Linked DNA regions of Arabidopsis thaliana. The protein of the gene in region 2 interacts with the protein of the main gene of each other region in a pairwise test. Each region holds a gene or a part of one and is shown on either strand. Other genes may lie near its edges. The genes, in order: AT1G01440, AT1G49850, AT5G19960 and HAP8.

The links.
Region 1: the proteins of AT1G49850 (region 2) and AT1G01440 interact in a two-hybrid assay, tested with the Arabidopsis thaliana proteins (one large-scale study listed by BioGRID).
Region 3: the proteins of AT1G49850 (region 2) and AT5G19960 interact in a two-hybrid assay, tested with the Arabidopsis thaliana proteins (one large-scale study listed by BioGRID).
Region 4: the proteins of AT1G49850 (region 2) and HAP8 interact in a two-hybrid assay, tested with the Arabidopsis thaliana proteins (one large-scale study listed by BioGRID).

The regions. Positions count from the first base shown.
Region 1 is NC_003070.9:157,894-166,024, reverse strand, and holds AT1G01440 (hypothetical protein (DUF3133)), read left to right. Parts: upstream 1-3,071; 5' UTR 3,072-3,538; intron 3,539-3,744; 5' UTR 3,745-3,805; coding exon 3,806-5,457; intron 5,458-5,546; coding exon 5,547-5,607; intron 5,608-5,722; coding exon 5,723-5,946; intron 5,947-6,032; coding exon 6,033-6,090; 3' UTR 6,091-6,397; downstream 6,398-8,131. Other genes in the region: AT1G01450 (Protein kinase superfamily protein), read left to right, coding at 508-1,920; TBL25 (TRICHOME BIREFRINGENCE-LIKE 25), read left to right, coding at 7,489-7,771, 7,913-8,131.
Region 2 is NC_003070.9:18,453,028-18,459,461, forward strand, and holds AT1G49850 (RING/U-box superfamily protein), read right to left. Parts: upstream 3,593-6,434; 5' UTR 3,418-3,592; coding exon 3,205-3,417; intron 3,116-3,204; coding exon 2,922-3,115; intron 2,645-2,921; coding exon 2,299-2,644; 3' UTR 1,817-2,298; downstream 1-1,816. Other genes in the region: AT1G49840 (glutamyl-tRNA (Gln) amidotransferase subunit A (DUF620)), read left to right, coding at 77-421, 501-1,130; GSTF14 (glutathione S-transferase (class phi) 14), read left to right, coding at 5,683-5,838, 5,939-5,987, 6,144-6,434. UniProt on the Arabidopsis thaliana protein: Probable E3 ubiquitin-protein ligase that may possess E3 ubiquitin ligase activity in vitro.
Region 3 is NC_003076.8:6,739,543-6,747,114, forward strand, and holds AT5G19960 (RNA-binding (RRM/RBD/RNP motifs) family protein), read left to right. Parts: upstream 1-4,335; 5' UTR 4,336-4,486; coding exon 4,487-4,597; intron 4,598-4,838; coding exon 4,839-4,937; intron 4,938-4,974; exon of another isoform or gene 4,975-5,029; coding exon 5,030-5,442; intron 5,443-5,789; coding exon 5,790-5,850; intron 5,851-5,920; coding exon 5,921-5,974; intron 5,975-6,072; coding exon 6,073-6,141; intron 6,142-6,216; coding exon 6,217-6,282; intron 6,283-6,363; coding exon 6,364-6,432; intron 6,433-6,519; coding exon 6,520-6,591; 3' UTR 6,592-6,839; downstream 6,840-7,572. Other genes in the region: AT5G19940 (Plastid-lipid associated protein PAP / fibrillin family protein), read left to right, coding at 151-375, 467-590, 664-843, 929-1,119; AT5G19950 (tudor domain protein (DUF1767)), read right to left, coding at 1,621-1,776, 1,944-2,236, 2,412-2,630, 3,128-3,341, 3,543-3,710, 3,879-4,160.
Region 4 is NC_003076.8:22,766,396-22,775,778, forward strand, and holds HAP8 (hapless 8), read right to left. Parts: upstream 6,627-9,383; 5' UTR 6,407-6,626; exon of another isoform or gene 6,207-6,406; intron 5,592-6,206; 5' UTR 5,475-5,591; coding exon 5,347-5,474; intron 4,911-5,346; coding exon 3,938-4,910; intron 3,858-3,937; coding exon 2,523-3,857; 3' UTR 2,058-2,522; downstream 1-2,057. Other genes in the region: AT5G56260 (Ribonuclease E inhibitor RraA/Dimethylmenaquinone methyltransferase), read right to left, coding at 9,154-9,383.

The DNA.
Region 1 (8,131 bases), about 18 Mb from region 2:
ACCGCAGCCTACGAGTCAATTTCTGTGTCGATGCGATCCAATCTACGCTTCAAAGAGAAGAACACTAAATGGAAGATACTAGAACAGCCCTTAAGGGAGCTTCTATGGGTGGTTAGAGAAGGAGAGGCTTATGTTAGAATGTCTTTAGAGCCTAAACTTGGGTTTTGGGCTAAGGCTATTGTGTTGCATAGCAATAGAGATTGCACAGAGCTTCACATACATAACTTGCTCTCTTGTCTACCGATCATCGTCGAGGCTATTGAGACAGCGAGTGAGGTTTCAGGGTGGGATGAAGAAGAGATGAGCAAGAAGAGGTTGGTGCATTCTAACAAGTATATGAAGCAATGGAATGACTCTCAGATGTTTACCTGGAAGTTTGGGAGAGAGTATTTGGTGACCGAGGATTTCTGCAACCGGTTCGAGAGTGCTTGGACAGAGGACCGTTGGATTCTGATCAAGGAGCTTCAGGAGAAAAAGCAGTCCGGTTCGAGCAAACATGAACGGAAGATGGCTGATTTCCTTTTGAAGCATTTGGGAGATGGAAATGAGAGCCCCAAGCTATTTCCTTCTTCTCTTCTGGATAACACAAAAGATTACCAAGTGAAAAAAAGATTAGGGAATGGAAGTCAGTACAAGGAGATTACCTGGTTAGGCGAGAGCTTTGCGCTTAGGCATTTCTTTGGGGATATTGATGCTTTGCTTCCTCAGATTACTCCATTGCTATCTCTTTCACACCCAAACATTGTATATTACCTCTGCGGATTCACGGATGAGGAGAAGAAAGAGTGTTTCTTGGTCATGGAACTGATGAGGAAAACCCTTGGAATGCACATCAAAGAGGTATGTGGTCCTAGGAAGAAGAACACTCTCTCCCTCCCGGTCGCGGTTGATCTGATGCTTCAGATAGCTTTGGGTATGGAATATCTTCACTCGAAGAGAATATACCACGGAGAGTTGAATCCATCAAACATTCTTGTCAAACCAAGAAGTAACCAATCCGGAGATGGGTATCTGCTTGGGAAGATTTTTGGGTTCGGGTTGAATTCTGTCAAGGGATTCTCTAGTAAAAGTGCTTCTTTGACGAGTCAGAATGAGAATTTTCCATTCATATGGTATTCTCCAGAAGTTCTAGAGGAGCAAGAACAGAGTGGAACTGCAGGAAGCCTTAAGTATAGTGATAAATCTGACGTGTATAGCTTTGGGATGGTTAGCTTTGAGCTTCTGACAGGTAAAGTACCATTTGAAGATAGCCACCTGCAAGGAGATAAGATGAGTAGAAACATTAGGGCCGGGGAGAGACCGCTTTTTCCATTTAATTCACCAAAGTTCATAACAAACCTGACAAAACGATGCTGGCATGCTGATCCCAATCAGCGTCCAACTTTCTCATCGATAAGCAGAATTCTCCGGTATATCAAACGGTTTCTAGCTTTGAACCCGGAATGTTACAGTAGTAGCCAACAAGACCCGTCCATTGCGCCTACTGTGGATTACTGCGAGATCGAGACAAAGCTATTGCAGAAGCTTTCTTGGGAATCTACAGAGCTAACCAAAGTTTCACAGGTTCCTTTTCAAATGTTTGCATATAGGGTTGTGGAACGGGCAAAAACGTGTGAAAAGGATAATCTCCGGGAACCATCGGAATCAGGAAGTGAATGGGCTTCGTGTAGCGAGGATGAGGGTGGGGCAGGATCAGATGAGCAGTTGTCATATGCCAAGGAAAGAAGATTGTCATGCTCCTCAAATGATGTTGGTATGAGCAAGAAGCAGGTTTCAAATCTTCTGAAAAGAGCTTCTAGCCTGAAACCAATTCAAAAACCAGGTGAGATTATCATCAGCCAATATATATATATATATATAGGCTCCCTAACAAATATGAACTTGGTTACTTGTACTAATTTTTTTGTTTTGTGTCACTAGCCTTTGGATTCTGTTCAGGGACAACTCCGAGAGGACGATCAAGGCATCCGCCACTAAGCCCTTGTGGTGGGCAAAGCATGAGAGCAAACTCTGAGAGTCAGCTGATATTGATAAGCCCAAGGATACGACGATCAAACTCTGGACATGCCTCTGACTCTGAGCTTTCCTAGTCTGCAGGGAAAAAGAATAGGTTCATAATAGCAAGTTCAAAATGCTGTACAAGTCAAAAGACATACTAACTCGTATGTGGTGACACACACTCCACTACATATCTATCGAAAACGATAAAATTCTTCTTTATTCAAAGTTTCCTACAGATACTACTAGGCTCGTATATTGTTCAGGCTAGTGACTGATTGATTCAGTAGCTACTAGCTACAATATTATCTTAAAGGAAACAAATCATATGAGGCAAAATTATGTGCCTAGACTGTAGAGGCTCAACGCTGAAGTGAAGTAAACTAGGCCTGCTCCACTATTTCTACAATCTATCAAACACCATCAAATTACACTAATCAAATTTTGGGCTTCGAATGTGGATAAAAACATCAAAAATAAGGAACCTTGACTAATCTGCCTGAAAATTACCTTAACAAAAAAGGGGAACAGCGATTCCGCCGGGGACTAGAGACATGGCGTGGTTCGGAGCTTTGGCTCTGTCTCTCGTCAATTTCAATATCTCCGCCACCGCCGACTCCGTCACATCCATCCTCCGACGCTTTTATTATGTCATTGATTGTGATATGACCAAAAAGTCCCCACTCTAGTTTTAGATGAATGAAGCTATGATTTCTTTTTTTTTTTTGGTGATAAGTACGTTATTATGATTTTAATACCAACAGATTTGTCAAATATAACATTATAAGCAAGTGGAGTAAACAAACTAAGCAGCTGATTTGTACAAAAAATACTTTACAGCTATAACATTTGTCATTGTCACCCTAATATAAAATACAATTCCAACAACTAAAATACATCTCTAAACTTTTTAAAGATGATGATGATGAAAAGAATTCAAGTTATGAGCACGTCTGGGAACATGGCACACCATCTATTTTGACAAGATAATATTATACAATACATGTATAAAATACGTACACATTCATCGTTATAAACTAAACCCACCATGGCCATGATGAATAGTGTGTGTAGTTCAAGGTATTGTTGGTTTTGGAGCAGCGAGACACAAATATATCAAAGACCTAATTTGGTACTTTAACTTTCACCTTTCAAATGCAGTTAAATTCGAATCGATCCAACCAATTCATTAGTTACTACTATTTTTATTTTGTTGCATTATTTTTGGTCGTCACGTTATCTCTTGGTCAACTTGACCTGGTAAGACTCATAGTTTCTAGATATGTCAAAATTCTTAAACTCCATTGTCGATCTAATTGTTCCTAGTTGGTAGATTCCCGGGAAAACGAAGCAAGAAAAGTAGAGCTATTGTTCGAAGTCTTTTGATTATTTAAATAAATTCCTCTGAAATTTTCACAAAACTCCTTTAATATTAAAAAATGGCTGCGTCAAAGAGACTAAAAGCTTGATTCTCACCGGAGACGAAGAAATTGCCCAAAAAATATTCATAATACTGACGCCGGAATCACTCTTCTTCGAGGTGCGTTTGATTTTCCTATATCTCTCTGTCTTGTCTTTCCCGTTTTGGATGCTGTGCAATCATGGAAACTCTTGAACTAGTCTCTAGGAAAATTTTAAGATTTGCTCTACCATGTTACTATTCGCGGATTGGAGAAGATTCGATTAGAGAATTTGTTGATAATTTCGGATTTTGTTTGAATTCAAGGATTATTATTTCTGTTGCAGTTTAAACAAGCAAAACCCTAGAAGCTGGTCTTCGTCGGAGAATTTTTGTTTTTTTTTTCCGATGAGGACAAGCGGTGACGTTTATGGAGCAGATACTGGTTCCTCAAGAAGTGATGAAGACAGAGGCTTTAAGGAGGATCTCAATGAATCCGCTACTAGCCCGATGAGAAATCGCCTAGACGATTCGAATTCACGACCTGGTTCTCAGAGATTCGTCAAGAGCTCGAGAAAGGAGGAAGAGACTGATTCAGATTCTTCTTCTTCTAAGAACACAACCACCAGAAACAACCCAATTCAGTACACTGATAAACAACAAGCCGAGCTTTTGAGAAAGCTTGATTCTATTAAAGATCATCTTCTCCGTGGTGGAGGTAATAATGCTACTGTTGTTGATCAGCCACCAATGGGTTTCCATGCCCATCATGGACCTCCTCCTTCTTATTACAATCCATACCCTGAGCCATTTCCTTATGGAATGTATCCTACCGCGAGTAACCAACCTCATGTTCCAGCTTATAGAGACCCTTATGGATTCCCAGTGCATAGGATACCTCAAAACTTTTATCAAGGACCAAGTCATTACCCTAATCAGATGCCGCCTCGTCCACCCTATCCTCAAGGACAGTATGTAGACATTGGCTCTGATATACTTGAGTCACAGTTACAGGACCCTAGATTCTTTCCGGGTACGCCAAGTAGGTATGGTGATGTCCCATTTAGCCCGGCTTTGCACCACGGTGAGAAAGTTGGACCCTTTAGTCCACATGGTGGTGTTCACACGAGGTGGCCTAGTGAAATTGATTCTGAAATGGGTGGTGCTTTTGCTCGTGGGTATGTTCAACAAGCTGTGTCTGATACTGATTCACGTCGTTGCCATCCTCTAGCAGGCGGTGCGCCTTTTATTGCTTGTCACAGTTGCTTTGAGCTGCTATATGTGCCTAAGAAGAAGCTTCTTGGTCAGGAAAGGCAACAAAAGATGCAATGTGGTGCTTGTTCTGAGGTTATCACGTTCAGAGTTGTTGATAAGAAGCTTGTTTTCTCATCTTCTGCCCTGGGGGAAACTACGAACCGGGTTTCTGTAGAGGTTGAAGATAGAAGCTCACCAATCCCTGTGGTAGATGATTATCCACTCAATGATGAAGAACCAAGAATACACCAGGAAACGAAAATTGTCCATGCTGTATCGCCTAGTGATCACTCAAACGATGAAGACAGGTCAAGCATTTCTAGTGAGCCGCGGAAACAGGTCGTCAAGTCTGTTCGCAGCAGAGCCCAAGGCGCGAAGGTTCCTCCTCCTCCTCCTCCGGAAAAGTCCAATCTTCTTGAGCTCTTTGAGTATTCTAATGTAAACCGAGCTGCAATCACTTACGGAATGGCGCAGTTAGGGTACTATAAGCAAGAATCATACACGAAACAAGACTCCCTGAAATCAGAATCAGTAGCTACTGAGACAGATGTTTCTTATAATGAGTACTATACTAACACCGAGGAGTCTGAAGATTCAAGGATCTCAAAAGCCAGCAAAGAAGGGAGACGACCAAGAAACCGAAAGCAGAGTAGTGAGCACAGTTTCGCAGAGGTCACAAATAATATCAGTTCTAACGACCAAAACAACGAGCAGCTAGAGGTTTGGGTGAATGGGTATCTGATACCAGAAGATCTGGTTATTAGCGCTGAGAAACAAGCTGGGCCAGTTCAAGCTGGCAAATACTGGTATGTTTGGGGTTACGTTTTGATAAATCTACGTCAAAAGAATTGATCAGTCGTTCAAGAAACCATCTTTATGTTATGATTCTGACCAGGTATGATTACCGTGCTGGATTCTGGGGAGTGATGGGAAACCCTTGTCTCGGTATAATACCAGTAAGAACTTTCACATCTCTTCTATATTGCTTTGAATTCCAGTACACTGTTTCATAATTCTTTGTATTGATTGGTACTTGATGAGGAAATGGGAAACAATTGTTGGTTGATGCAGCCATTTATAGAGGAGTTTAGTCGACCAATGCCGGATAACTGCGGTGCAGGAAACACGAGTGTGTTTGTAAACGGAAGAGAGCTTCACGAGAGAGACCTAGAGTTACTATCAAGTAGAGGTCTTCCTCGAGGCAAGAACCGTTCTTACATCATTGATATAGCAGGAAGAGTTCTTGATGGAGACTCTGGTGAAGAACTTAAGAGTCTTGGCAGATTAGCTCCAACGTAAGCACAACACAATTCCATGTAATCAAATTTTTACATCAATCATTTAGTTGATTCTGAAATTTTATGGTTGAAAATTGAATCAGGGTTGACAAGGTGAAGCATGGATTTGGCATGAGGGTTCCAAGATCATTAGTCTCGTGAAGCTTCGTCAGCTTTGTTTTGACCTCTCTGATTTGTAAATTATTCTTTGTGATTGATATATAACACATCTTTGCTTATATTCTGACCCAAAACTTATTTGCTATTCTGTTTTTGGGTTTAGTTTCTTTTTTGGGGGTTCTCTTACAATGTTCCATTCTTTCTCTTACTTTTTTTTTTTTTGTCTAAGAGATAAACCGTATGGTTTTATATCTTGTGATCTGGTTTATGTAAATTGATCATTTTTTATTGTGGATAACCTGTTGCCTGTTGGGAAATAAAATAATATTTGTTTGATTTTGTGACAAAAGATAAATGTATATATTTATAGATCTGTCCAGGCTGTGTGTACTTGTTAAATCGTTTTCAAGAAAGAAAACACACTGGTATGGTAGATCCAAAATCAACTTCAAGTAAGATGGGTCCACGTAGCAAATATTTAAAGCCCATGGAATAATTTATTCACAATGGGCCTCGTGGTCGTGGTGTACCCTACTCCATATAAAAAAACAGAGTCGATAATCTAGTCTGTCTAAAACGACTAATTCATGTCTAAAGATTAGTTTATGTTTTAAATCACCGAGAACTAATTCTACCGTCTAGATAGAACGATTTTTTTTTTTTCTCTAGATAGAACGTTTAAAACAAAATTAGCATGAAAATTACCACGGTTATCAGAAGACAAAATATATTTTTTCGTCTAATTAGATGTGTAAAGCATAAACTAGATACTAATTTATATACTCACAAGTAGTTTTAGTTACAAGTTTCAACCATTAAATCTAAGTGCGAGGTCTCTGTCTTTAGTTGAAAAAAGAGAGAGAGAACAAGTCTCTATCTTTGCTCCTGATAAGTGATAATTAATCAATAAATACTGTAGGACCATCCTTATCGAGTTTCGTTTGATAGACACTACAAATACAAACTAATCACCTAATTTCCATAAATGTAGAGATTACTGTAATCCTGTCTACGTTGGAAATAATTAATGGTACCATGTCACCCGTAATAGCAATGGCTTAATCATGTTTAAAGAGACAACAAGTACACGATTCGCGCTTTACAGTTGTATAATTGTAACTTTAAAAACAATTATGGATGCCTAATCATTAGATTATTTTCTTCTTCTGAATATCTCTCCACAAATTAAATGAAGCCACGACCGACATAAACAAAGTGGAAACAATTACAGTAATTCAAACACATGCAAACAAAAAAACTCGAGTTAATTATTACTAACATGTTTTAGTACTTCTGAGAAAAAAAGAAAAAAACAGGATCCGCTGTGTCTTTTTTATAATGATGAAGTTCCTCGCTTTCAACGCCAACCAAAAACCTCCAGAAAGCTAATTAGGGAAACATTTGAAAAAACTCAGTGATCTGCTCTTCTCTCTAATTGCAATGGATTCATTGAGATTAATATCTAAGAGCATCAAGATTGAAGGAACCCCATTTGGTTCCTCTCACCAACGCAATCAAATTTTCCTCAAATCCGTCGCTTTCTTCCTTTTGATCGGTCTCGCTTACCGTTTTCTCATCACTAATTCCACCGTCTCTCCGGTTCCCACCGTTCGATCCTCGCCGGAATCTCTCCCGCCGGATCCTTCAGGTCTCACTGCCATCACTCAAACTTCAGCCTCTGTCGATTCCCCAGCAAACATCACAACCATTGCTTCACAGAATGGTAAGAGATCATCTTTTTCCGATCATCACTACTTTAGTCTCAAATTCAATAGAGTAAGACCCAAGCAACGTGAGGAAATTGGGTTTTGAGAAGAAATTCTTATTTTGGATTTGTGCTCACCAAGTGTTTGAACAATTGTAGTTTCAACCAAGTGTGATATCTTTATCGGGAATTGGGTACCAGACCCATCAGGGCCAATCTACACCAATGTCTCTTGCCGTCATATCCAAGATTACCAAAATTGCTTGAAAAACGGAAGGCCAGATGTGAATTACCTTCGATGGAGATGGCAACCTCGCGATTGCGATCTCCCGAGGTTTAACCCTGAGCAATTCCTTGACAATATGAGGAACAAATGGT
Region 2 (6,434 bases):
TTACTCAAACAAAATTCGATTTTTGTTTCTATTATTGTGTAAATTTTGTTTCTCTCTGGTGATATGTTGTTTGCAGGAAACATCATCTGCACAGTACATTTTGCAACAGTACACGGCGGCTTGTGGTGGCCACAAGTTACATAACGCCATTAAGAACGCTTATGCTATGGGTAAGTTAAAGATGATAACTTCAGAGCTTGAAACTCCTACAGGAACTGTTAGAAACCGAAACTCTACAAAGTCGGAAACTGGTGGGTTTGTTCTCTGGCAGATGAATCCTGATATGTGGTACGTTGAGCTCTCTGTTGGTGGTAGTAAAGTTCGTGCTGGCTGTAATGGGAAGCTTGTTTGGCGACATACTCCTTGGCTTGGTTCTCACACTGCTAAAGGACCCGTCAGGCCTCTTCGTCGTGCACTTCAGGTTAATCCCCAAACACTAAAACTTACATGGTTTTGAAATCAATCCAATGCTGATTCTGTTATGTTAAATGATGTTTCAGGGACTTGATCCGAGAACTACTGCTACTATGTTTGCTGAATCGAAATGTGTTGGAGAGAGGAAGGTGAATGGTGAAGATTGTTTCATTTTGAAGCTATGTACTGATCCTGAAACGCTAAGGGCGAGGAGTGAAGGACCAGCAGAGATTGTAAGACACATCCTTTTCGGTTACTTCAGCCAAAGAACAGGACTTCTAGCTCAAATTGAGGATTCGCAGTTGACTCGAATCCAATCTAACGATGGTGATGCTGTTTACTGGGAGACCACGATCAATTCGTCTCTAGACGACTACAAACAGGTGGAAGGGATCATGATTGCTCACTCTGGACGCTCTGTTGTTACCCTCTTCAGATTTGGGGAAGTTGCTATGAGCCACACTAGGACAAAGATGGAGGAAAGATGGACCATTGAAGAAGTCGCTTTCAATGTTCCTGGTCTGTCTCTAGATTGCTTTATCCCACCCGCTGATCTTCGGTCTGGTTCGTTAACTGAAGCCTGCGAGTACTCGGGTCAAGAGGAGAAAGGGAAGAGCTCACTAGCGTTGGCTTCAACAACAGCTCATAGAGCTAAAGTTGCAGCCTTGGAGAAAGGAAGCTTCGACAATGATCCTGTTTGGCATATTGATGTCTGAGTATGGTAGGGAAGATGCAATCTGTGCATAGTAATCCTAATAACAAGACTCGAGCCTTGAAATGAGACTAACTAACCCCTTTGTTTAACAGCTCAAATATTAGGAGTTTGATTACACGATTGGTTTATTTAAGTTTCATTTCTCTTATTTTCTTTGTCGCCTTCAATATTATTGAGTAAGGTGATGGGATTTATTTGCAGCAAGAGAAGGAGAATTGCTGCTTAAATGTTGAATTTGTCTCATATTTTTCTAGCAAGTCAAAATTTCAATCTATGGAAAGTTAATTGTTAGCAAGTGAAGCTCTCTTATCTTCTTCAGCTTTCGTTGATTTTAAACTGAACTAAACCGTTTTAAGTTGGTTGAATTTGAATCATATAGGTTTTAATGTTGTCGAAGACATGAAATTGATGTGATAGAAAAAGAAAGGCAGGACATTCTTAATGTATGTATTGTTAATTTTAGTGGTTAGAGAGTGAGGTGTGTTAGGTACCCAATAGAGAAAGTGATGGTTAGGAGCAAATAAATGGGATTTTATGAAAGGAATTGAAGATGATGATCATGAATTTATGAAGAAAGGGGTCCATTTTGATATGCTTTTGTAGCAAAAAATAGCTTTTTGTGCACAACTGTCTTCTCCTTTTAGCCTTAACTTTGTTTTAAAGTTCTCTTTTTTTTGGCATAACTTTCTTTTAAAGTTGTTATAAATTGATTGAATCTTTTGATATTAGACTTCAATATATGTAACGTACATGGATGTATGATAATGACAACGTTTTGGAAGAGGAAGCAAAGCTTTAAAGTAGTATCACCAGATTGAGACAATCAAAATTTCTGAAAATGAAAACGTTAAGTTGTTGAGCTATAACCTCAAAGCATAACCAAATTGTCGGATCAAGATTTGGATTTGGAAAAAGTCTCTTTCATATAACCAACAAGACATTAAAAGAGAGATCACAGTGAATAAAACTAAAAAGATTCACACCATACGATATCAACGCTTGAACTGCCTAATGGCACAACAAAAACCATTACAAACATGTGACAGTAAAAAAAACACTCATGGGCGACAAAACTCAGAAGATCGTTTTAAGGATGTCTATAGCAAGAAGAAGAGAAGATGTGTATGGCTATGGCCTAATGGTTAGGCAAAGATTCTATTTACAAGTTTCTATTCCTTTGCTATGGCTCTACGGCAACAAGGACAATCTCCACAAGCTCTAAGCCAAGGGTTTAAGCAAGAAGAATGGAAACTATGGGTACAGGGTAAGGATATTAGCATGTCACCTTTAGTGAAACTCTCTAAACATATGCTACAATCTCTCATCTCGGATTTAACCTCGGCTGAGCTAAAAGTTTGCCGGTGTAAACAGTTAATAGCATCTTGAGTAAGACCTTGTGGTTTCTTGTTGCATTCATAGGTCACTTGAAGCCCTGCTAGTTGAAAAATTGGATCTCCATCTATAGAATGAAATGAAGACTCCCTTTGATCATCCAATGAAACTCTGTTGCTTCGACTGAATCAGAAAAACAAAGTTGAAACAAATCCGTAACCAAATTTTGAAAAAGAGGCTTCAAAGAAGATATTAAAGAATACACAAAGCAACAATAATCCACAAAAACTGATTTTTACACTAAGTCTTGACCAATCCTCACAAGAAACAAGAGCAAAATCAAAACATGCTTCAAAGAATCTTGATCAGACAAAAGCAATTATTTTTAAAGAAATCTAAAATCAGACTAGAGTGCAGATCAAGTAAAGCTGTAAAATTTATCAGTGGGTTAAGCACAGACCTGTTACTAGACAAAGAAACACCTCTCAATCTTTCGAAAAGTCTATCCCTTGCAAGCAGAACAGCTCCAGGAAGCCTCTCGGATCCATTTAGGTTAACAAAGCTGCTACTCTGAGTTTCAGTATCAGTACTATCCGTATTTAAATACTGACTAGTGCCTTGAACATCACGAATAGGTCTACTACGTTCCTGAATCTGTAAATTAGGGGAGATTTTAGTAAAAAGGACCAAATTCAGACAACTACTGAAATTAGTAATTACTAATTTGGTGGAAAGTAACTAACCGGATGGTGAAAGAAGCGTCGGAGACGGGGAGTGGGTCGCCGGAGAGGATCACAGCCGTCGGAATCATGACGCTGATTATGATGATGGACGCCGTGACGGCGATGATGATGGTGTGAGTGGTGTCGATAGGAAGAAGTGTCGGATTCTAAAGCCGGGTCGGATCGACCCGGACGTGATCTTCGTGTAGAGAAGAGTTCCGATGCGCTCGTCATGCACCGATCAATCACCAAATTCGTTTATATGATCTGAAACTAAGTGCAGCGAGTCAGAGACGATGAGATAAGGAGGACAGAGAGAGAGAAGAGAGAAAATTGCGAGGAAAAAGTAAAGGGAAACTGCAGTGAAAAGGTGACGTCATCTCCCACTTGCTGTCGGAGCTAAGACAAAACATCTTTAAAAACGGTGTCGCTGTAATAAAAAACTAAGGGGAAAAGCCCAATTATTGGGCCTATCCAAGTAAAGTCCACTAATACATAGGTCCCAAGAAAACGGGGAGAGCATTATGAAACACTAAACTGAATAAATGGAGAAATTGACGGAAAAAAAGGGAAAAAATGTTGTTTAATATACCAACTTTCAAAAAGTGGCCATTTAAACTATGAACTCCATATATGGCCAAATAAAACTTAGTAAAAGCGTTGATCGGCCATTTTATATATTCCAAAACATTGATCCGGCCAAAAACCCTGCGACGTTAGCAGTCGTTAATAGAGTCGATAATAGGCGTTAGCAGACGTTAATTAATCCGTTTAAACACAAACGACGTCGTTTTGTGTTTAATCGAAACCAACAAAATTCCCAATTCGATTCTCAATCCCTAAAATCCCCAATTCCAATTCTCATGCCCTAAAATTCCCAAATTCAAAAATCTTCAAAAGCCTCTCCATTTTTGTTCGTTTGAAGATTTTTGTGTTTAAACGGATTAATTAACGCCTGCTAACGCCTGTTATCGACTCTGTTAACGACTGCTAACGTCGCAGGATTTTTGGCCTGGTCAACGTTTTGAGATGTATAAAATGGTCGGTCAACGCTTTTACTAAGTTTTATTTGGCCATATATGGAGTTCATGGTTTAAATGGCCACTTTTTGAAAGTTGGTGTATTAAACAACATTTTTCCCGAAAAAAAATGAATAAATGGAGAAACTATTGATTAGTTAGTTGCTTAACTCAAATCTAATTGTTAATGTACTAGTTGCAGTATACAAGTTGGTTCTAGATAAAATTTTCCTCTTTTAATTTTGTTTTTTTATTGCCACTTTGTTAATTAACTCATTTATTAGTTGTTATTTAGTTGCTTTCACCCTTTATCAAACGATTGGAGCATAGTTTCACATAAATTTCCGATTTGGTTAAACAAACTCTCCGATTTAGTTCATCGAATTCGCAGATGTGAGCACCGTCGGTGTAGATGATGATGATCACGGCGGATAAGAGACGAGCTTCTTTGGTTTTCTTCTACTTAATGATCTAGATGACGGTTGATGATGATCGATTCGTAATCATCATCGGATTTTACGAGAGAAAAGAGAAAAAAAATACACGGGAAAAAAAATTAATGTTCTTTCCTCACATTACCGAACCTATGAAACATGATAGGTATGGGCCTCTTTCCAAACAAAAAATGTTCTTAGCTAAAGTGAGTTCCATCCACTTCATCACATTTTTTCTTTAAATGTTGGCTTTTTTCTAAGGGCTTCAGACCACCGTTAACGATAGTTGTTTAATAGAATTCTTAACAATTAAAAAAATAAAAATAATTAAAAGTTAAAAAAAGAGAGAGAATGAGAAATTCCAAAAACTCTTAGCTAAGAGACGATATCACAAACCCAAAGACACGTTCATCTTTATTATTGGTCTATCTATATAAAATATTTAAAATATAACTGTAAAATTAAAATATTATTATTTTTATCCTTTTATAAATTTTCATAGCATACTGGCGTTGAGGATGGTCTCACCTCTCTAGAGCTCATCTAGAATCACCGTTGGAGGTTGTCTGAGTTTCCTAAGAAAGCGGGAGATCATTATAATTATGAAACACTAAAATTTTATAAATGGAGCAATTATTGATTAGTTAGTTTACTTAACTCAAATGTCAAATCTAATAGTCTATGTACTAGTAGATGCAGTATAAAAAGTTGGTTCTAGATAAAATTTCCCTCTTTTAATTCGTTTTTTTATTGCCACTTTGTTAATTAACTCATTTCTGGTTGTTATTGACTTAGTTTCACCCTTTATTAAAACTCTAGAGAGTCTGACAGGTATTTAATACTTAATCTAAACTATACTATCATTTATCGATCGATGACCAACTCTTAGAAGGCATTTAACATTTACACCCAAAAAAAAAACTCTTAGAAGGCCGAAAGGTTATTGATTATTACATATACTTTTTCACAACTATAAATACGGAGATCACAATAGGACTCATCACCCAATAATATAACTAATCTAGTAAATAGACAAAGAAAACAACATGGCTGATTCTAAGATGAAGCTCCACTGTGGCTTTATCTGGGGTAATTCGGCAGCTCTCTTTTGTATCAATGAGAAAGGTCTTGACTTTGAGCTTGTCTTCGTAGATTGGCTTGCTGGTGAAGCCAAAACCAAAACTTTTCTCTCTACTCTCAACGTATAATCTCTCACACTTAACTCTTAACTGTTTGCATCTACCAAATTTATTTAACTTCATATGTGTTTGAATGAACAATCATTCTCTTCTTTTCTTGCAGCCATTTGGTGAAGTCCCGGTTCTTGAAGATGGAGATCTCAAACTTTTCGGTACTATAATCTTGTTTCTTATTCTGGAATTTTATTTGAAGTCTTGGATTTGAATGTGGAGGTTTTGCAAAAGGTTACATAATTATTACCTTTTCATAAGTTTCTTTGTTACCATATTTTTGCGAAATTTTTATAGTGTTTTGATTATGCATATAGAACCAAAGGCGATCACGCGATACCTAGCCGAGCAATACAAAGACGTTGGAACAAATCTATTACCAGATGATCCCAAAAAGAGAGCAATCATGTCGATGTGGATGGAAGTAGATAGCAATCAATTTCTTCCTATAGCATCAACACTCATCAAAGAACTCATCATCAATCCATATCAAGGTTTAGCCACAGACGATACAGCAGTTCAAGAGAACAAAGAAAAGTTATCAGAGGTTCTGAACATCTACGAGACTCGTTTAGGCGAGTCTCCTTACTTGGCTGGTGAAAGCTTCA
Region 3 (7,572 bases), on a different chromosome or scaffold from region 2:
ACGCGGGAGAGAATCCAATCACCGATTGAGCTATGGGCCCCAGTATCGATTTCTACTATGACGTGGCACCACTTAAATCACAATATCCGTATTCCCTCTCTCTCTCCCTTTCTATCTGAGCTTCTCTCTCTTACTCTCTCCAGAGCAACAATGGCTGCGACTGCTTCTTCTCTTACAATCGCGTCGTCATTCTCCGAACCACGGACTCAGATCCATTCCTCGAGACGTTTGAATCTCCCTCTTCAATATTCAATCCCGTACAAGGTGTTACGGAGTAGGAGTAGAAGATTAGGACTCGTCGTCAGTTCTGTTTCAGCTCCCAACGTTGAGCTCCGTACTGGACCTGATGATCTCATTTCTACCCTCCTCTCTAAGGTTGTGTAACGATTTCTGATTTGTATACACCGATCTTGAGGATCTGACTTAGTTTGGCGCATTTATTTGAAAGTTTGTGAATTGTGAATAGGTTGCGAATAGTGATGGAGGTGTGACGCTAAGCCCTGAGCAGCACAAGGAGGTGGCACAAGTGGCCGGAGAGCTTCAAAAGTACTGTGTCAAGGAGCCTGTCAAAAATCCTCTCATTTTTGGAGGTAAAAGTGTAAGAACCTAGCTGCCATTGCTTCTTCCTTGGATCAATATGTGAACTTGTGGGATTTGGTGCAGATTGGGAAGTGGTGTACTGTTCTAGACCAACCTCTCCTGGTGGAGGCTACAGAAGCGTGATAGGCCGTCTCTTCTTCAAAACGAAAGAGATGATACAAGCCATCGATGCTCCTGATATCGTTAGGAACAAAGTTTCCATTAATGCTTTTGGTTTTCTAGACGGAGACGTCTCCTTGACAGGTGACTATTGCAAAATTCACATATGCATTCAGTCTCATCTTCTCCCGTGTTTAATCTTCTCACCTTTGTGTGATCTTATCTGTAGGGAAGCTGAAAGCGTTGGACAGTGAGTGGGTGCAGGTGATATTTGAGCCTCCGGAAATCAAGGTTGGATCTTTGGAGTTCAAATACGGGTTCGAAAGCGAAGTGAAGCTTCGGATCACATACGTTGATGAGAAACTTAGGTTGGGATTGGGATCTAAAGGATCATTGTTCGTCTTTAGAAGGCGTCAATAATATATACGTTTCTCCCTCGTGCATCAACCAATGCAAATCACTACAGAAAAAAAGGAAACAACATATGGGGTCCTGCGAGAGTATGATGGTCAATATCCACAATGCTGTGTACACAAATGGTGTTTTAGATATAACTTTGTTGTAATGTAAACTTCATTTTAAGAGTGTCTCACTTCAGATGAGTTGTTGAGGAAGCTACTGGTGAACTTCAACATCTTTTCGCAAAGAATTACTATAGCAACAAAGAAAGATAAATGACTTAGCAGCCTTTATGTTCAAATTCAAAACCTCTCACGAAAATCTGAAATTCTGAATCACCCTAAAACAAACATGTACAGATTCAGCGCTGCCACACCTGTGAGAACCAAAGCATACATGAGTAATAATGCTCTAAAATATGTAATAAGATACATGTTTACTCTAAAACATACATAAAGATATACAGATGTAAATGATGAAGTTTTGTTTAATTACCACAAGCCTGGATGATTTCATTACAATCTACACACGTCCTCTTCCCCGTCTATGTCCTCGCCCTCTACCCCTTCCTCTTCCTCCTCCTCTTCCCCTTCCATGGCCGAAGTTATCTTCTGTTCTTCCGTAATCAAACATATTCATTCTGATATCCGCTGCCCCGGCTCCAGGCATCTCCTGCCCCTATACAGAAAATTACAATAACAAAGCTCTTATTGTAACCATTTCTGTATGGATGATCCCAAAACACAAGTAATAAGCCATTGAAAGACAGATAAAAAGTGTGCTAATCAAAATAATGAGCATATGGAAGACGGGTCATAGGGATAATAAAGGTTGTTGTGACTCACATAAGAGTCTTCCAGATCAAACTGATTCTGAAGCTGCCATGCAAGATCTTCATCGCGGGTAGTGTCGCTTGGATGGTTAGCTGTTGGAAGAGCCCCCCCACCAGTATTCCTCTTTTCCCACTCATCTAGTGTAAATACTGCAGAGTCTTCTTCTTCTCTCCCCCTCCCTCTACCTCTACCTCTACCCCTACCTCTTCTTCCTTGGTATTGCCTATCATTTGAACTAGAATGTTTCATCTTCTCAAGAAGTATCTGCGCAGCCGCTTGGTTCTGTAAAGGAACAGCTTCCACCACTGCAACATGGGAGATGTTATTTGGCGTATAGGGATGAACGATAGATATCTGATATCTCATCTAAGGTTTCAACGCAATTGCCAGATGAAAATGCCAAACTAATTTAACGCTCCTTAATGTTCTTTGCTGTACAATGAGCTTTTGAGACGATGAGGGAAAAAGATGATGGCAAACCTTGTTTAGGTCGTGTATCGGAACTGCTTCGCTTTTCCTGATTTTCAACTTCGACAGATATTTTCGGATCAGAATCTGCAGGATTCCTCTGTATATTCTTATTTGTGCCTCTTTTGTTCCCATCAACTTCACTACTTTCACCTTTTTCTCCACCGGCATGTTTTACAGAGCTTTCTGCAGCAATAGGTACATTGTTTCTAGAAGTCGTCTTGTTGTAATCTGTCAACCAACAAACATATGCTGACAAGTTAAATTTTTGATGCATTGGCCAAACTTCCATCACAATACTTTATGTAAGCCCACACAAAGGAAGAACAATTCAATAGATCATAAATTTTACCACAATGAAAATGCATTCACTCAAGTTTAAGTATTGAAACAATGGAGACCCAACAGCGCCAATGTTGGACACAAAGCCAAGGGAAAACATAGATCAGACCTCTACATGAGTCGTCATAGGTTACATAAACGGATATATTGGGATTTTGGAGCTCGGGTCAAATTACTAATATGTTTATGCTAAAGTGCATTTGGATGGAATAAGTCCTTGCTGCAGTCAATGCATATTTATGTACACTATCAACATGAAATAGAAAATGGTAGATATTTTATTTGGTAGCAAAGATTGGCCAACCGTTTCAAAGTGAACTAAATATGCAACAAATTACTAGAAGAAAACTGAATGAAAATGATGAGAATAAGAAAATCCTGCTTACCGCGGTGATGGGAACCTGTTCGAATCTTCAACTCCTCAAATGGAGGAGGGCCATCACCAGCTTTGCTTTCCTGAGATCGAGCCAAACTAGCGTATTTTTTCTTCATCTGCCATTCTTCAGTGAGTGATTGCACATAACCGCCCAAGACAGTCACCTCTTTTGGAGTCAAACATACTAGACCATCACGTATCACAGCCTTATTTTCTAGACGTACCTGCCAACGAGACAGTACAAAATATCAACAATACAAAATGATTTATGATTTGCATATGACACCCTCTGATGCATGACAAACACATATGTGCACTAGCTTTCTATTGATTTAGATCTTAATCCAAACTATTATATTTGCATGAGACTTTCAGAAACATAGTAAAGGAGAATTTGAATTAGATTGATATGGAAATGGAACTACCTTAGTACCAGGAGTGACATCATTGTTAATCGTTGGTATATGAGAGTACTCAAGCGCGGATATTTCGGTCTTCCCGTCAGTCAGAGCGAATTTTAGCACTCGTTTACCAGTGGAACTTCCCACAAATTCCTCTGCGCTACTTCTTGTAACATCCCTAACATAACTTATCTATGCTCACAAAAGAAAACAAATTAACACTCAACAGCTTGAATCAACTGCAACAATTGAGCATTCTGAAACTAGTTTAAATCTAAGTATATCAGTGAGAGTGACTCATTGAATTAGCGAAGACCTAATGCCAATTGTTACTGACTTTAGCTGATTGAAGCAATGTACCTGGAGAACTTTGGGGCCTTGAAGATGAGAACACCTGCGTAACTCGGTCGGGTCCGGGAGGGATTTACCTCCGATTAACTTAATATCCATGTTAAGCAGCTCCGCCTCCACTGACTCCACGATGGCGCCTGTTTTATTGCCGCCGCCGATCAAGGAAGAGATTTCAGTGACCAGGGATTTCAAGTATTCGACGTCTCTGAAGCACCAGCCCCGACTAGTTAGGGCATTTATCACGACGGTGTGGGTGTGGTCGCCGGCGGAGGAGCTTGATGTTCCCACCATTGCGTTGATGCTCTTGTCGCGCTAAACCAATTGGGGAAGACGAGATTTTAATTTGGAGAATTGATTTTGTTATGGTCAATATCGAGTTAAACTAATTACTATTCACTAATGATACTTTTTGCATAAAATCGTTTTGATCAATAAAGAAGAACATTTTTAACAGAAAAACTAGAAAAGTAATTCGAAAAAGTCCTATAAAAAAGGTATTTTCCGGTTTCGTTTTAGTGGGCCTAATGGCCCATATGTAACACGAAGATTTCTGACAGTACGACTTCTAAAGTACTTTGCTTTCCTTGTTGAATTCCGACCAAAGTCGATAAAGAGTTATGACGATGGACGATGGTAACTCCGTCTACGTCGGCGGCCTCCCTTACGACATCACCGAGGAGGCTGTCCGTCGCGTCTTCTCCATTTACGGCTCCGTCCTCACCGTTAAGGTTAATTTTCTCTTTTCAATATCCTGATTTAAGTTTCTTAATTAGGATGATTCAAATTCGTTTCGTGATTTTGAAGTTCCAATCTTATTGTATGATCTTATAGATGATAAGCTTTAGTAGATATCTATGTAGAAAGACTGACCAAGTGATTTAGATAACATCCAATTGCTAGTTGATATATCTTACATGTGAGCTGGTCAGAGTGTATATTGACATATATGTGTACTATTTGAGAATTCAGATTGTCAATGACCGGAGTGTAAGAGGGAAATGCTATGGCTTTGTTACATTTTCGAACCGTCGATCGGCTGATGATGCTATCGAAGATATGGATGGAAAAGTATGGTTCTACTGCTAAAGTTTTGTTCTTTTGTTTATATTATCATGTACGTGGTGTGTTTATATTGTTGACGGTATTGAGCTCGTAATCAGAGTATTGGTGGGCGTGCAGTGCGTGTGAATGATGTGACAACAAGAGGTGGAAGAATGAATCCAGGTCCGGGGCGGTTACAACCACACGGTGGTTGGGATAGAAGTCCTGATAGGAGAAGTGATGGTAATTATGAGAGGGATCGGTATAGTGATAGGTCTCGAGAACGGGATAGGTCTCAGGATAGGAGAAAAGATCATCGCTACATAGAGAAGGAAAGAGCTTATGAGCATTCACATGATTTTGAGAGGAGGAATGATCATGATATGGTAGATAGAAATGGTTATAAGGAAAGAGTTTTCGATGGTGATGAAGGAGATTGGCGTGGGGATAGGTCTTATGTGGATAATGGTAGGGGAATAAATGGGACCAGTGCTCACGAAGGAAGGAGCCAAGAAACAAAGAGAGAAGATAGGTAAACTTTTGTTGAAAACAATGCAGTTGTAGACTTCACATTGGATTTCAAACTTTTAGTGTTCCTCCTGTTTCTTTGAATTGTGACATTCGTTGTTCTTGTAAAATTGGTCTGCTAGTTTGAATGAGTCAAAGACTGGGATGCTAGTCTTAGTCACGCCGCTAAACCAAATCATCCACACCTGTTGTGGTTAAGTTTGATAAATTATCATCGATTTTAGTGTAATGGATTTGAGGAAGTTTCTTGCTCTTGTTGGCTTTGTGCATGTTACCGTTTGAGGAATGTTTTGGCTTGCTTTGGTTTTGTTAACATGTCTAAATCTTTGTGTGTTCTTGTTGGATTGACAGTACCATTCTTGATGGTGGACGTGGCAGAGATCACTTCTCTAATTCAAGTGGAGATCATCAGGTAAAGATGATTTTCTTAGCCATGCAGTGTTTGCATAAATTCATTTTATAACTTGCAACTTCTATTACAGGTGAAAGAAGATCTGGAAGCGCTGATTAAGATGCGTGAGGCGCTTCGAGATGAGGTATGAGGTAGTTTATCTGTGCATATAGGCTGTTGGTAGATTTATTTTACATAATCACGAGTGATCCAATGAATTTATGGGCTACTTTCATTTTTAAGGTGATGGTGATGGAAGAGAGACTGGAAGTAAAAGAAGTAGTGTGCTCAGAGCTACAGAAGAAATCTAAGGTATGTGTCTTCTATATCTTACAACCCCAAAATGTTTGACTACAGATTTGTTCTCATTTGAAATGGTTAAGACAGAGATTAGAAGATTTGTTGATCAATGAAAAGAAACTGGTTTCACAACGCCGAAAAGAATTGGCAAAGGTAAGCATAGGTTCGATTCCTGTTCTAAAAGTCGGTTTTGTTAGGTAATGTTTGTTGACATTTGGTCTATGTTTGTGGTAGCTACATAAATCATATTCAAGGGTTAGAGAGTGCACGGACAACCTGAAAGACTGTGAACAAGAACTCCAGGTTAGTTTCTAAATTTTCTTATTCTAGTGATTGTCATTGCATAAAGATTAGGCCTAATCGAAACAAGTGTCTATTCTTTTCTCGCAGTTGCTTGTTAATTCAGCAGCTAGAGAAGGCGTGGCAGGTGCTGATGAAGGATTGGGACACGGGTATCCGTAACACGGTCACCCGCATGTATGATCTGTTTTGTCTAAAGTGTAGCTTTGATATGTCTTCTCTTTGTGACTTTCCGAGTTTTTTTCTAGTCGAGCTACACTAATTTGGTACATATTTACTTGTTTTGGCAAGTATGTATTCATTTCATTCGGGATGTATTATTATCATACGAACATGAACTAAATAATTATGTTTTCAACTTGCAACTGAAACCAAACAATCACCATACAAAGTGTGGAAGTAAAGTCTCAAAGCTTTGTTAGAGAAGAAGTCCTAGATAGTACTTGGCTATAGTTAAAATATTTTAGTAGATGAAGTTGACAAATTAACTATTTCTTTTTGTAATGTTTGCTTTGTTCTTTACTAATATAAAGATACTTGGCTACAGTGAAAATGTTATAAAAAGAGAGAAAAGAATAGACAGTTAAATTATTAAGGTTGACACAACCATCATCTCCACCGTCCATTACTCGTCAGCCGAATGTTTTTTATTTGATTAAGATGTGAACATCATCCATTGACCTATCGTTGCTTGTAAAGCCAAGTTAGCCAACCAACACTCAAATCATCATTATACGTGACGATCTTAAGAACAACCCCATTTAGGATACTCTATATGTTTGTCTTCTCATATAAATTTCATTATAGTAATATTAAGGCATTATCCATTATTCATATATATTCTTCAAGGCATGTTTCGTACATCTTATAGCAAACCAGTAGCAGTAAATAGCATAAGCAAATGTGTTCTTCTTGTCGCATGGCTCTAGTGGAATTCCACGTTTCTCCTTCTTCTCTTGGTAAGCCGTATTGTCAAATCGACGTGGATATATATATGAATATTTTAGTTGTTTTGACAAAGATGATTATTGAAAGAGTAATTAGGTCACTTCAGTAAGGGAAAATGTTAAAGTTTTAGGAGTCATAAAGTTTATGTGCTACAATAAGGTAATTATACTTCGTATAAATAGTAGAAGAAAAAAA
Region 4 (9,383 bases), on a different chromosome or scaffold from region 2:
ACAAATTAAAAATTAGATTTAAGTTTAGTGACAATGTTAGGAGATTTAACTAATTTTATTTCTTAGATGATAACTTAATGGCAAGAAAATGTGCACCAAGTTAATATATTTAAGTCATAACATCTCTTGTGCTCTTAAATATGATTAGACCAACGATTTAATTTTTATATTGCGTAATGGAGGACCAAAACCAACATTTAGTTTCTTGTTTAATGTTACGATGTTCACGCCAAAATAAAATAACCCTCTAAGTGGGCCCCGCTTTAAATAATACTATCAACATAAATTCTAAAAAATAATAACATGCATTCCGATTTTCTCTTTTTTCTTCTGTTTTTTTGGCCAACGCATTCCAATAACTCTATATTCTTTTTTTGATATAGTATAGTTCAAAGTGTATGTTGAGAGTCGTATGCCAGTATTAATTGATTTGTTTGTATAATGTGGTTTCTTATCACTTAGTATTATTTTTTCAACTATATATATATATATATATAGGTAGTTAAACTACATTACTGTTTACGGAAAGGATACAAGTTGTACAATGAATCCACATCTTAACATAGCATACATAAAAAAAAGAGTTTATATTTCAACTAAATTTTATAAATTTTGGATGAACCTAGTGATACATTAATATGACTTGTGTGGCATTATTACGAAAAGGATAAAAGTTTAACAACTAAATCATGTATCATGATTCATGAGTCGGCCCTTGACACAGTTGCAATGAGGTAGGTATATTGTTAGTTCCTTTTTTTTGGTTTAATGTTAAATTATATTGTTAGTTCTTCTTAATTATTATTTAATTAGAAGACCACATCTTATGAATTTCTTGTTATATTGTTTAAAATACGTTTCATTATTCTTTTTTTTCAAACTAATATATTTATTGCTTACGTCGACTAAAATTTTCTCTCAATTAGAAGAAGTTAGATGACAACCTAATATTCATTATTATTTTGTCGGCGCCTAATTTATATTAATATACAAAAATTTGATATATTTTGTTAAAATGAGAATTGTCAAGTTCAGATATGCAATTATGTGATAAGGAAAAAATTGGCCATCAAACTAAATATCAAAGTTTTTTTCGTCAATATCACTTTTCAATGTTGACCCAAAATTAAAAAAAAAAGCTTTTAAATATTAGTGTCTTTCAACTTTTCAACTAGTCGTTTTATCATATAAAAATTCTCAAAATTCTTTCTTTCATGATAATAACTTTTTCCAAACGGTCAAATGTTCTCACAAGTTGTAATTATTTTGGAGTTAGTGGCAATTTCAAAAATAAAAATTGTTGAATTTTAGGACCAATATTGCCTTTTTGATGCAGGAGTCTCTCTCTCAAAAACTAATAGTATAAACTGAAATTGTTGTGGATGGATACGTGACCATTTATTCTACACCAAGAGAGTAGTGCTCAAAATTTCAAATCTTGCAACAAAACTATAAGCTACGACTTACGAACCAAGCTACGTATTATCCATAAAGCTTTTTCGAATAATCTCTCTATAAACAGCATTTGAATTTGGATCTATAACATCATCGGAGTAACATTCTTCTAACTAATTGAATTACCAATGCATGAATCATTAATAGTATAGTTTGCAAATATTTGCTTATAAAACTTTTTATGGACCGGCGACAAATAATAATATACATACATATCTATGTATATAATCGTAAGTGTGTCTATATATTATACAGAAATGTGTATCAACTAACATGTAAAACAAAAGAAGACATGGAGTGAGAGAAGCATATGATAATAAGCAAATGATTTTGAAAATGCGCATGCAACATAGCCGTTGTGCTTGTACTCATCTCTACGCAAATATATTTCATTATTTTCACTAAAATATTCTCCCTATTTTTATTTAAATTTTCTTGTAACAATAATAAAACAGCTCATCTACACCAAATGCAACTATTTCTTTTTTTGTTGTTTTGTATAAAATCCTTGTCCATCTAATTTTGACATTGTTTACGCTCAATATCAATGTGTATAATAAAGTCTATATGTTTGCAATCTAAAATAAGGAATGAGTGAGGAAAAAAAAGATAATGAATTGCGTATACATAATAATGTATGTCATGACGGTGACTATGATCTTGACTACATCATATGATTTCAACCATACAAATATTTATATCTAAATAGAGAGAATTAAGCATCATGATGTTAACTCTTATATAATTTATTTTAAATTCGCTTTCATAACATTATAATTATAAGTTTTCATCCTTAAAACTTAAAACAAAAGTGGGGGTCCTTTTACCTTAGTGGAGTTCTCATATATATCATCCTATGAGGAGAGAATTTATCTCAGTCTCACCATTGTCTTTCTAAAGCAGCCTTTTTGAGATTCTCAACCTCTTTATTATAGAGAAACATGAGATCTTGAGGTGTCTAGCTTCTCAAGATCTCAAGCTTAAGGAAAATGCCTGGACTTTGATCTGAAATGCCATGGAATATTATTTAGTATCTTGGAGAGAAGTAGAGTTCTTGGTCTGAACTTTCATGGGATGTTGTAGAAGCTTGTATTGGTGTCGAAATAACCATTTCCGCTGTAAGGAGGATGAAGAAGATTAACAGAAGGAGACGCTTGCTGTGTCTTAGAAAGATCTAGAAACTGAGAGGTTGGTTTTGGACTTGATTCGTTGTGTGAAGGCTCTTCTCTTTGGTTAATAACCATCAAATCCTTTCCCATCAGCCGCAACACCGGGTTGGGAGTTGAAGGAACCGCAGGCACAGACTTACTCAGGAAATCCAAATCTTGTTGGATCATTTGTGGTGGTGGTGGTTGACAAAATGTTGTATCTTCAAGAGCTTTCTCCTTTCTTTGGCAACAACATGATTGATCATTGTCTCTGAATCTGGAAGGTCTCTTGTCAGTGGTGATGATGTTATGAAGACTTAATGTCTGTGTTTCAGGAGCTGCAAAGTTTGAAATTGCTGAAACAGGTGATTCCGATGAATTTCTGTCAGTGAGATCAAACTGATCTTGTGAAGAGTGGACTTGGCTTGTGATAACTGAAGAGTTTCCATGATGTTCAACTGCATCAGTTCCCATCATATCCCAAGGACTTGGTAAAAATGATCCCGGAGGTCCTGGAATAGGAATGGGATCAACCTCCATGAACGAGCTTTCTTGTTCCGCGGTTTCGCAACCAGTTTTCTCATAAACCATGCTTTCAAACTCAACATCTGCATCTTTAGTTTTGTCCAACATATCATCACCTCCTTTGTTATCACCAGTCTCTTCATAGCTTTCATAATCATTGTCTTCCCCGCTAAACGAAGGATTTGAGCTTAGCGCAACCTTATCTGTTTCTCCATCATCATCATCCCAACCATCATAATCTGACAGTTCACGTTCTTGAGTCATTTCAGACTCCCATTTCCCTATATCTTCATCTTCATTCTCAGAGAAATCCATTCGAGCTTTCTTGAACTTCATGACGCCTCTCGCCACAGGTGTTAAACATCTCAAGGGATTTGCTACAAATAAATCACTTTCAATGCTTCTGTTCCTAGACAAAGCCCAGCTCTTTCCAGAAACTTGGCTCTCCCCACAAACTCTCCATGACCCTATACTGTTTAAAGGAGAAGAAACTGTCTCGGACAAATCAGTACTCACATGACTTGGACTTCTTAACACAAGAGGATCTTCTGACAATGAATTCCAATTCTCAGATTCACAAATGTCTGTCCCATTCTTCTTTCCATGCCTTGAAAGAGAACGCTTTGTTAGCATCCGCTGGTTGAATATTCTACCTTGACCAGGACCTGAAGTTTCTGACCTCTCAAAGTCTTTACCTTCTTTAGAATATCCTCTTCGATACTCCGGTATCTGTTACAAAAATGATAAAGAAACTTGTGTTACTAATCTAACAACCAAATCAAGAACGGATCATGCAAAGGCATAATTACCTCTGAAGCATTGCTTTTACGAACAGTGAGTTTTCTGTTTTGAGGAACTAGTTTACGATGCTTGTAATGTTTCTCTCCCCAAAGTTTTTTCCTAAAGCTTTTGCCCCCTTTACCTTCACTAGAAGATTTCTTCTCACAAACTTCTTCATGCTCTCTTCTTGATGGATCAGAAGCTTTCTCGTTAAACTTAGATAAAATCCGCAGTTTTTGGCCCTTAGCATCAATGTAAACAGGTCCAATGCCAGCAGCATCTTCATCAATGCGAGCACGCGACACGCTTCGCTTCTTTACTTTGTTGGACACTTCAGGCTTATCATCAGAGACAACACGGTTAGAGTAGCTCGAAATCATAGCCCACTTTGTGCCATTTCTTTTATCAAGATCTTCTAATGTGCCTTCTTTCGCAGAAGCATAGATATCAGTCATGGTTTTAACTTTCAACCGTGGCTTAGTCTTAGGCCTGTTTGGCTTACGAATCGGCTGCTGCCCCGAGTCAACAGACAGACACTGATCAATGTGCGCATTTAAAGTAGTGTTAGAAGCAGACGAGAAGGTTTTGCAGATGGGACAAGTTCTCAAAGCCATAGAATCAGAAGCTGAAAAGAGGCTACTATGATCTTCTTTTCCACCACTATCCACACAAGCTCCAGGTTTCACTATCAACCCACACTTTTTTCTAGGATTCTTGTTAACCATAGCTACTTGTATTTTGGATTTCGAACCACTCGCCAACAAACCATTCTCAAATCCTTGTTTAGTAGTCTCTACTAATATCTGATAAGAGCCAAGTTTCTCTGACTTTCTCTTGTGACTTACCGCTTCCACATGAGTTATGTTTGGCTTCTTCACTTCAGGAGGCTGAATCGGTGGCAATGGATCAGTTAAGCCATGATTTAAACAAAGTTGCAAACTTGTTGAGGAAAAAGGCCAACTTTTCTTGATGTTCTTGGTCCGGTAACTAAATGCATAATCTCTGCAAAAAACATCACAAAAACCAAATCATCAACCATTAGTAGTACAACAACCAGACAAAACATAGGTACAGGCTTTTATAAAAAAAAAAACTTCTGAGAGACATGACACAACAAAGAAAAGTTTGTTCTTTGATGATACTGAGACTCGTTCAGATCATGGACCAACGGATCAAAGAATAGTCAAAACTCAATACCATTAAGCTCCACATAATCACAGAAGGTGAAAGAAAAATAAAAATAAAAAGCATTTTGTTTTGAATCTGACCCATTTAGCAAAAATGAATGGATGAGAAGAAAAGATGTATCAGTAATCAAACCTAACAAGAAAGCTAAAGACTTTAAGCCTCCTAAAACAATGGTGAAGAACAAGAAACTGTTGACTTCTTCTCCATAAAACCCCCAACAAAATCGGAGAAGAAGAAACTTTAAGATTACCTGATGGAGAAAGTTGAAAGATGTGATTGACCTAACTCATCACAAGAGTTGGTCAGATGTAAGAAACTAGAAGAAGATGATGGATTGTTATTAGAAGGGCTTCTTTGATCAGTGGATGATAAGAACATTTGATTCTTCTTCCACTGTTACTACTATTCACTTCTTCACTTTTATCAACCTTGTCGTCCCTGCTCTTCTGCATAACACCAGATCTTTATAATACCAAATCTGAGAGCCTATGAAACCTGAAAAAGAGTTTAAAGTTTAAGTCTTTAAAACCCAGAAACTTGAGAAGATCAAGTAAAAAAATATTATTTCATGTGAAGGTTAGAAAAAAAACAGAGAATAAAATTAGGATTAGTGGGTGAGATTTTCAAGTATATGGGTTTGATTGGTGAAGCAAATCACAAATAGGAACAATCAAAAGAGTTGGTTTTTAATTCTTCAAAGTTTTTCCCCTAAAAACAAGCATCAGTTTCTAATCTGATTGGAGTGTTATTTTATGCAAGGAATCATATGAAACTCAAAGACATCACAATAAGAAACTAATAGATCAAGACACAGAAGGTAAAAGAACATACATTTGGTGAGATTTAAACCAAAGTTCATTGAGATTTATTTTTTTTTCTAAAAAAAAAATGAACACATTGAAAGAAGATAATCTAACCCTTAAGAAAAACTATAATCTCTACTTATGGATGAACCAACTGGAACATGAGATTTAACAACAAATCTGAGAAGACAATATTAGGAATCCAAGAAACAAAACCCTTTTTTATAATGTTATGAACAGAAGAAATGGATCATAAAATATCAAAAACTTACAGAGGATTAAAGATATATACTTATAATAAGCATACCTATTTTTGAAGAGTATAAGTTTGGATCTTTGAAACTTAATAAAGATTCAAAGTAAAGTAAGAACAAGAAACTGTAAATCGGTGAGACAATACAAAGAAAGAAAAAACAAAGAAGTAGGAAGACGACGAAGAGAGAAGAAGAAGAGAGTTGCTAAAATAAAAGTTTCAGATAAAAATTATATCAGTAAATAGACAGAAACCTTTAGAGGATTTGATTATTTTCAGAAATAGTTTTTCTTGGCAGAAGAAAAGATTTTTGTTAGAGGGAGAGAGAGATGAACAAGAACCACGCACTAACACATCAAAGTGGTATCAGGTTCCCTAAGTATTAAATAAACATACTGTTTACTTATAAAATAAACTTAAAGTAAAGAAATGTTTAAATGAATTTTTTTTTTTTTTTCCTCGTCGCTGTTCCTTTCGTATGTCTGTAAGTGAGCTGTGTGAATTCCTAAATAGTTGTTTTCATTTTTCAAACCATTTTTTTAATGCTGCTAACTTTATTTAAATTTTGGGCTTTGAACTGAACGAGACAAGTAGAGGCTGCTGCTAACTTTTTGTATCGTGTTTTTTAAGAAGTGGTTTCTACTTTCTATCATTGTTTATACAAAATGTAATCATGTTTCGAATTTTTAATTTATGGTAAGGTAAGAAACTTTAGTTATAAAAAATAATTAAGAATTTATGTATGTTCTTGTTAATTAGTATAAATTTTTGTATTCTTCGAAACCCAAAGATATGAATTGTGGAGGGGCTAGAAATGCTTTTTTTTTTCCTATGGATGATTCGACCATTAATGAAAAGCAAATGAAATCTTGACTTAAATGAGGGTTGACTCACTTTAGTTTTGGGATAAAGTCTTTTGAAAAGTTTATCAAATTATGGGAAGTTTCCATAAGAACGATCGAGACGGTTTGTGAACAAATGATCGTTCGGTTCTATTATATGACCTTAATTAAGATTGTTTCTTCTGTGATATGGCTATGGAATAATAGATAGATGAATCTATGACCTTAGGCGATATAAGATCTTCTCGGAGAATATTAAGGTGGAGCATATAACATGCGTGGAACAAACCAATGACCATGATATCTTTGAGATGAGATATGAAGGCATCGGCCGGAAAAATTTCCAACGTTTAAAGTCATAGAATAAATGGTCGAAGAATTTGGAATCATGGAAATGAAAGAAAGTGATTTTGATTCAGAATCAATGGTTTTTATTGTCCTTTTTAAAGGTGAAAATAAATAAGAACATGATGTCTTGACTGTTTTTGAGAGCAAGCCAAATGTTTACGAAAAAAAGGATCCAATTGTTTGAAAAAGTTGGTCATGTATATGTTAGTGCATATAGAATTATGTAGGCACTCATAACCACTTTTTCTCAAAATTACAAGTTCTATAAAGTATAAACCATGAGATATCTCATATTTTGATCTTTTTAAAACGAATGTATCAACAGCCAGAATTATCGTTAAATCATCACCTTATTAAGAGAAATTAAGAAAAATCATAGAATTAAATAAGAGAGGATAGTGCCATTTTGTGGAAACGTGAAATTATGGTTTTAGTCAAACATCATTTTCCTCGTTAAGTCATATTCCATGCCCTATGGACTTATTGGAGGTCCCATAATTCCTTCGCTACACGACACTATTCTTTTTTTTTTTTTTTGGTGAAGTAATGAATGACAAATTGATAAGTAATGGATTCAAGCAAGACACCAAAACAAGAAAAACAAATTATAGCTTCTTAATCGCAATGATAAATCTAAAGAGCAGCCGTTTTTAGCTTTTGATTAATAAGTTCCATCAAATTAGATTGAGAAACAAGTGGTCGTGGTATAATATATTCGTGTCTAATTGGAATCAATTATAGATTTGTATGGTCTAGAATTTACTTATTTTAGTCTAGAGTGTCATATCATCCAAATTATTTTACAACATCAATATGTGATCAAAGACATATTTCAACATATAATTTAACTTTTGATTGAGAAGATTCGATAGATACAAAATATGCTAGAAATAATAGACTTATTGTAGATCCTATGTATAAAAACAAAGGAGTGTTAAAGAGAAAACATGAAATGTCCACATATACGTCAAATTATCAATGGCATGAACATGGTGATGGTGTGGTCTGTCTAACTTTTTATGATGCTTTTATTTATTAATGTGACGGAACATATTAATAATATAGTTTCTCTAGCATTGAATAATATATATGTTTTTATTCTTTTTATTATTCTTGGGAAACACCGTTTATTTTTTTTTATTAACGGGGAGCACCGATTTTTCCGTACGATTTCGAAGTGTGTTGGTCGAGAAAAATGAGTGAACCGAAATTAACGTGACAAGTAAATCTGATCTTGTTTTGTTTGGTTCGGTATGAATTTTGTTTTAGTTTGAAATGGTGTTTTTATTTTTTTGGTCAAATTTTGAAATAGTATTCATTCATTTGTTTCAATTCCATAAAAGTAGTAATTGGTCCACCACGATATGTATTCTTTCAAGTTTCAAACCTCATAGCAGAATTTTGTATTCAAATTCAAGTAAAATAGTACGCTCTTGTGTATACAATTATAATTTATACATGTCTATCAATTAAATTTCAAAATAACTAAAATCCATTCGTACAAGAATCATTACAATGCTGGAAGACGAAAATAACATCTTTAGAAATTATATCCTTGTTGTATAATGTATTCACTGATACACATGTTTTGACTTATTGATCTCTTTCAATTCAATGAAAGTTTCTTATACATATCACATGATCCAAACTTGTTGAACTAAATAGACTTTTATTTTGTAATTTCATAAAACGTAAGTATATTGTAATAAAAATGATTATTTGGAGTATTAAACAGATTCTTAAGAATTCGAATAAACCACCTTGCTCCAAGAAGCTGTAGTCTCTTAGCACTATCACGGAAACGTTCTGACTCAAACAGAGAGTTCGGTCTTGGAGATCAAGATACCATCACTATCAGCATATAGCCACTCTCCATCTCTAATCAAAGTTCCTCCAATATGAACCGGCACATTCTTCTCACCATGACCTTTCTTAGTAGATTTCAACGGGTTAGATCCCAATGCCCTGACCCCAACATCGCAGTCATTGATCTCATCCACATCTCTAACGCATCCATTCACAACAATCCCCGACCACCCGT